Linked DNA regions of Styela clava. The main gene of each other region encodes a partner of the protein of the gene in region 2 in a complex. Links are inferred from orthologs where the notes say so. Each region holds a gene or a part of one and is shown on either strand. Other genes may lie near its edges.

What was found. Proteins that work in one complex are often made in the same cells at the same time.
Region 1: gamma-tubulin complex component 2-like (region 2) and gamma-tubulin complex component 4-like share a complex: the UniProt entries of both Homo sapiens proteins name them as parts of the gamma-tubulin ring complex. The link is inferred for Styela clava from reciprocal best matches to the Homo sapiens genes TUBGCP2 and TUBGCP4.

What each region holds. Positions count from the first base shown.
Region 1 is NC_135257.1:8,687,277-8,691,038, forward strand, and holds the start of gamma-tubulin complex component 4-like, read right to left. Parts: upstream 2,665-3,762; 5' UTR 2,012-2,664; coding exon 401-2,011; intron 5-400; coding exon 1-4. UniProt on the Homo sapiens protein: Component of the gamma-tubulin ring complex (gTuRC) which mediates microtubule nucleation.
Region 2 is NC_135255.1:3,626,930-3,630,691, forward strand, and holds the start of gamma-tubulin complex component 2-like, read right to left. Parts: upstream 2,830-3,762; 5' UTR 2,774-2,829; coding exon 2,718-2,773; intron 2,140-2,717; coding exon 2,067-2,139; intron 1,982-2,066; coding exon 1,890-1,981; intron 1,367-1,889; coding exon 1,165-1,366; intron 141-1,164; coding exon 1-140. UniProt on the Homo sapiens protein: Component of the gamma-tubulin ring complex (gTuRC) which mediates microtubule nucleation.

The DNA.
Region 1 (3,762 bases), on a different chromosome or scaffold from region 2:
CCGCCTGAACAAAAGCATTAATTCATTATATATTCAACTTCTGCACTATACAGTAATTCAAAAAGCTTCAATAAAGAAACACCAAAGGCAAGCATTTGAATTATACAAATGCACATTCAGCTGTGGGATGCCAAAGTGGTGCTATATTGCCTAGATATACAGGGCATCCCTTTACAATTTTGTTATGAAGTCAGTTCTCAATATATCTTAACCAGGTTTGTTGTTTTTTATCAGCAAGTATTTTTACTTTCTTCAATACAAATGGTATCGATAAATTCTCTATATATTCATGGCAAAAACCCAGATAACCGGTTGCATTCGATCCTGTTTAATTTTGATGCTATTCAGATCGGAGAGATTCAGAGATAGATCAGAGAGATTCAACTGTAAAATACATTACCTGTAAATAGTACTGCAAACTGTCAACCAGATGACTCATATGCATTCTTAAAGTCAGATTAGAAATGTTTTGTTTGATAGAAGCATCATCATCATCAGTACATATAAGTGAACATTTCTCTTGCATTTGAAGTGCCCACAAATTCTGTAAAGCAAGTTGGGCTCTACGAACCCTCAACAAGAATTTAAACAGCTTGTTATATTTTGAAAGTACAGGTGGTGTGAAGATGATATGCAATGGCCATTTAACTTGGAATGTGATACTCAATAAAGACCATGTATCGTTAGAATCCATTATTCCTGATGCATCATATGTGTAACCAGAAGATTGTTCAGATTCTTTAGAAGATTTTGATTCTATAACTAATTTGAAGTTTTGTAACGCACCATCTTCTTCAAGTTGTACTTTGATGGCAGATCTCAAGAATGCCTGGTTAACATCGTGCTCCGTAGTTTTTGTTGGGGGTTTTCTCATTACTATCGCAGATTCTTCTAAAAATACCAGATATAATTCTCCAAGTCCAAGCAAGTAATAGTCTTTTAGCATCATAAAATGAGACACTAGTTTTGCTTTAACAACACACAAATCCCAAAGTTCTCTTGCTACAGTGGATCGAATTTTATTCAACCTGGATTCAAACTCCTCTAAAGAGAATCTATCTTGATTTTGCAACCACAGAAAATCCCTCATGAATTCTTGCTGATTTTCTTTGAGAATCCCGTCCATGCGCTTTCCCTCAACATCAGCAGAAAGTCCCTTCAATGCAACTGCCATGCTAGAGCCTCCAACATGAAGTGCTTGTTGTTTGTGTAGGTCTTTCTCAAAAAGATGCAATGATGAGCCAATAAAAAGAATGACATCAGCATCACGAGAGGGTAAATATGTCGGAAGCATGTCTGCTCGAATATAAAAGATTTCCAATTGAGATCCAAGAGTAGAGGATGAGAAAGTATCCTGGAACACGCTAACAGAGTCATTGGGTCCTTTCTCTTCAGATTTGGAAATGAAAAATTCTTTGTGTCTGTCAATAAGAAGACCATGCAGCAACCATGATGAAAGTTGTCGATACATGACTAAATGCAACCGTTTCTGTATTCTTAGCATTGCTCGCAGCACAACACGATTGCCTGTTTGTGATGCATGATGAACGGTACTTAGAATCTGACAACCATGACTTTTTCTTGATTTTACGATAGATATCAAGTCATACAACGCATCGAAAAGCAAATAATAATGTTCTAGCGAATGGTACACATGCATAAATGTTAATAGAGGATCCGCGAGTATTTCTTTTTCTATGTCTAAAACGGACTGATAATAAGATTCTAATACATCTTCAAGCCCATAACACAATGCTTGCAGGTAACATCCATGCAACAATCCATCAGAATGTTTTTCTGCTCCTTCTGCATATAAAGTTGAATTGTGAGTGTCAATGAACTTTTGAAAAAATATAATTTTTGTTGAAAGCTTGAGAAGTCTATTTAACGATGATTCTTCTGATGGTGATAGGAATGGAAGGCCGGGAACAACTCTAACAATACCATTTGATGTTTCTTTAAAAATACTTCCAGGATATCCTTGCAATGCAAATATCAGGTCGTGCAACATATTTTATGAAGTACTAAAAAATCAATGCTTTGAAATACAAAGTTCCCTCTATTAATATTATAGATGAATAAAATAGTAATCAATCATATTAAAAGAGCGTTTAAATTCTTCTATGTGTGACGTGATGTATATCTAATAGTACAGCATATTTCTGCCTTGCCAACCTTGAATGCAGATGCTATTCCCTCAGTGACTGGTAGTGTGAAAACTCGCAGTAAACAATACCAAGTTGACTGAAAATGTAAACATGTGCGAATAATTTACAAAGCATGGTGGTTTTCGACCAACTATTGATGTCCTTATAGCTTCAAGTAACTATATTTCAATATTTACCCCCATGTTGGGGTTGTGGCTAAAGTTTTAGAGATTGGACTAAATTGGTGTCACAATTGAAAGACGTTAAACCAGTGCCATACACAACACCCAGGGTTAATTAAATTAGGTAACTATTACTAAAATATCGTAGCTTCTTGCACAGCAGTGGCTGCCTGCACAATGACTTTAGATTGAAATTGTGAAAATGGCTCATGAAAAATAAAAGACTAAAACAGTTATAAAAACTTTTAGCAATGGATTGTCAGACACTACATCACTAAGCTGGATTTCATAACAAATTGCATTATTGATAACTAAAAACAATAGCAATAATTTCATGAATCTTTTTTCTGCAATGCTTTAGCTGAACTTTTCAATTTCATTTGTTTGACCATTATCATTTCAGAAGCTGTTAAAGTCAACATTCGAACTAATAAAATAATTAGATTAATTAGTAACGGAAGAGAATAAACAGCTGATATAAATAATCCAGAAGAATCAAAAAATTGATGATTTGGAGACACCCATTTCCAGTTTCTTGCGGCACTTTTGTTAATCCATTCAGCAAAATATATTGCAATGCAAAGTATTAGAAAATACAGACACATGATTGTGATTCTTTTCCAAGTGATAATAGTCAGTAGGATGCAAATGCAGTATATTGTCAATAATATACTGAGAAGTGTAGTTTCTTCAAGCCAGTCGACTGACAAAATTATTTGTGAGAAAATACCAACATCAGATAATTGAGAACTCATTTTTGACAGAATATATGTCTTTATGATAATAGCCTATATACCGTATATCTGTAAAGATAGATAGATAATAGACTACAGTAATATATATTTTTTAAGTCCACCGTGTGAAGTAATTCAAGAAAGTTGCTATAATACCAGAAAACTGCAGGTGAAGTTTGAACATTTTAAGAACTAGTGTGAGCATTATCATAATACATTGACATGCAGACCTGAAGGATCAACATACAAACTTGTCTGCTTGTGCACAACAAAACATGCAGACGTTCTGGCATTTTAGGCTAGTTTGCAAAAAATGAACCTTTCTTCTAATAATTACTGAATTAGCTTTATTTGTATATTTCATTTTAACAGTTTGAGTTTAATGGGTCCTCCAAAAACGAGTACCGGTATAGGGTCTCATGTACTTTCTTACCTGAATAACTTCTAGTGGGCGTGGCGTAACAATTTTTGGATATATGATTCCTGACCCCTACCTGATGACGTCATCCAAAAATTACGTCACTGCGACGTCACAATAACGAAATACAGCTTGCCAAAGTATAGCGACGGTCACCCGTAATGGCGCCTACGAGTATGTCAACAAACTCAATACGTCAGCGACCTCTCTCTTATCGGGGTCGTTGTACAGAGCTCAAAAATAAACAAGAATCACAAGCGACTAAATTGTCGCCAAGGAAC
Region 2 (3,762 bases):
TATGGTGATGATGGAATAGGATGTTGACGAGGTCTTCTGGCGTTGTGCTGTTCACGCAGTGTTTTCCTGAATGACTCTGCTGAAGGAATCAAACCCAATGCAGATGATGGTCCCGTGGCTTTTTCTAGAGTACTTCGCAACTGTAGAAACAAAATTTGGCGTCGGAAAATTTTATCAAGGCAAATTTCTCCTTATGTAGGTGAGGATTAGGGCTGAAATTTGTCTAGATGAAATATTTTTCATGGGTGAATATTTCTGCAGAAGAAATTTTCCCAGCACCCAAACATGTTATGTCAGTTTTGAGATATAGGATATGATATATTTAGTTTAAGAAAAATTAATAAAAAGGATTGTATTCATAGGTATTTAGAATCAACCCTTATAATTGATACAATTTCTAATACTATGAATGAATTATTCAACTCAGTATCTCCGTATGATTTGTCATAAAATCATGGTTTCAAATTTCAATGAAAAAAGGTGCAATGTAGCAAATTTACAGTAATTTATTGGCAATTTAATTAATATATACCAATTCAACTTCCTGAAGAAAAAATATGATTCCAATTTTGCCTAATTTTATTTGAATTAAAATAAATTGGAAAATATTCGCATTCGTGTATTTTTTATCACACCATATCTAATTGAAGTTCTGAGTCAAGGATGTTCGAAACTACTAAACGAATATTTTAACAGATTCAAAATAATTGTATTCAATATTTTAAATTCTTGATTTTTGAATAATTCAGAATAATTAGGGTTAATTATGAGCGCTGTGTCCTGTGTGTCTGGCCGGTATTTTTGTGCAAACGATAAGCTGTAGCTAATAATTAACACATGTTCATTGTTCACTATAATTCTGGCTTTTCAAGTTCATGGACTAACGAGATGAAAATGTATTTTAGTCCGCGGAGGGTAGGGTTCTTGGAATTTTGATATTCGACATAGTTGACTAGAAAATGGCAGGAAATTATGATAAATTTGGAAACTATCGAAGCTTTTTTTCGGTCACACAAAACAACTGAGACCCAATACATTTAGACCCAATACATTTAATTCTACAATAGTAGATATTATGTTTTGTGAATGTGAATATTTATTCACCCCTATTCTGTTATATTCAAAATCAAATACCAACATTGGAATTTCCAAAATAAATTTCACCTCAGATATTTCTTTTGGGGTTAATTTTGATCCAGATGGTGGAAGAGTAATATTTGATGTACCAAGGATTGAAGATGGAGAAATAGGAATCATTTTAGCAGCTTCTCCTCTCTCCTCGGCATTTTTTGTCAAGGTGGCATGCAAACTTGGTTTGTTATTCAGGTTTGATAGAAAATGTATCATAGAATCCAAGTTGCGAACACTGAACGAAATAGATTTTTGAAAATAAACTCAAACATGAAAACAAAAAACTTTGTCATTTTAAATCTTGTACTGCCATAGGCAACAGCTGCATAAGCAGCTAGCATAGGTGACGATTTTGCGCAACATACAAAGTTGCTCGGAGTTAATTTTACCGAAACATAAATGGGTTTAAGTCACGAAGTGATGGGGCTGGTGGTCAAAGGTCAGACATTACACAGTGTATTCTCCGACTGGTTTATTTTGAAAATCTACATCATTACGAACAAACTGTTGCATTAATAATCATATTGCAATTGAATTATTATATTTTGACCATAAGGTAGGAGTGAAAAATCTGGAAATTTCCATTTGGAAATACCAGTATGTGGTAAAAGGGTTAAGAAACTAAAGGTTTTTAAATTTGCCTAGACCTATTCTACACCACATTTATCGCCAAATGTTAATATTTCAATGGCCGCTAGTCAAACACAACGGCGTTATAATATACAAATTTTGAAACGAAAAAGTGTTTATTAGCATACTTTTTGGACTTCAGTTCTTCATACTTTTGCAAGAATTCCTTGGGTTTGGAAGCTTTCTCACAAATTTTGACAGCAGAACTATGAGTGTTCACCTTCAATAAAAGTTATTATTCTCTTAAATGATTAGAACAGATTATAATTATCAGAATATACTTCAACACCATGAGTAATACATACTTGTGTTGTGACAAAAGGTGTTCGACTTTTCAGAAGAGTTTCAGTGTGTTCTTCAGCCTTCCCTTTGTCGACTCTGAATGATGATTAAACATTTAATATGAAAGATAGTTTAAAAATAATTTTCAACCGTAACACCATGATTTCATAAAGCATGAATATATATCTTCTTATTACTCTTTTTAGACACAAGATATTCTCAAATTACAAAACACAGTAGATTTATAATGGTGAATTTCCAATGTTCCATTCTAAGATTTTAATATGATGTTGTACAAAATCCATGGATTATAAATTAAATCATTTTTCTGATAAGATGGCATGGCATTATTATATGGCAAATCACGATCTCTGATCCAGCTACCAATCCATGTCATATAAGAGAATAGTATACAAGTTATTCGTCCCATATGCATGGATTTTACAGAAGAAGTCATAAACGACCAGCAGTTATTTATGTGAACCAACTTACGACAGCGGAGAGTCAAGCAATTCCATCACACTGAATTATACTCCATAGGACCTGTGAACTAATGCAGACTAATCAGAGGTGCAATTTCAAGCATGTTCTTAACGCTTATCATAATGTGCCAACCACTTGTGTTAGAGTAAGTTCAAAATTAAAATTTAAACAAATAATCAATACAGACTTACTTCAACAATTGTAAGAGTTGGTTGACATTATGATGAATTCGAAACTCTTCACTCATGTTGGAAATCAGATTTATATTGTTGTAATTTTATTTAAATCTAATGTATGATTTGAAAATATTAGAATGTGAAGGTTATCAAGTACACGTAAGGAACCAATATGAAATTTCCAGCAGAACTTGATTCAGACGATTCATATACAGTATACACAGAAAAAAATCAATGTATCAAAATTGAGGATCACATATTAGGAACTATTCAGAAAGAAGAAATGGCTGTAGTCAAACACTAATAAAATCTAAGGTTATCAGAAAATCATATTTTCGTTGGAAAGACTGAAAGGCAACAGTGGGTCTAGTGTCCGTAGTGTGGTGTAGTTTTAGTGGGTGTAGCGTAACGATATTTGCATATTTCTGACCCCCACCTGACGTCAACCAAAAATTCTATCACTGCGACAACAACAATCGCAAGAAAGATAGCCAGCTTCAGTGAGTTCATTGTCACAGACATCCTTACGGGCCATCGATGCTATATTTTGGCAAGCTTGATTATGTGATTGTGATGTCACAGTGACATAATTTTTGAATGACATAGTCAAGTAATAAGGTAAGGGTCAGGAATGATATATAAAAATTTTTATACCATTCACACTAGAAATACTGGTGGCACTAGACCCACAGCAGCCGTTCCATAGTTCAAGCTTCGTTCAGGATATTGTTTTGGGGATTTGCGGGTAAAAAATTTCATTTGGCTTTCGTGTCCATAGGCTGTATTTCAAATTCTTTAAAAAAATTCCATGATTACAGTTCATTTTTTTTGAAAATAGATGATGGGCAGAGTTAAATTGTAAGCAATATTCTGGTATATTATGTGGAAGTGCATGCATTCACTTCAATGAAAATTATATTCATGGTGGACTCATATTGTGTAATGATAGATATTAGAATACTGCAAATAATCAATATAAAATGCGGGGCATTTGGACCATGCATAAATGAACTAAAAATATCTGGAACAATATTTACGATAGATCCACATCAAGCAAACG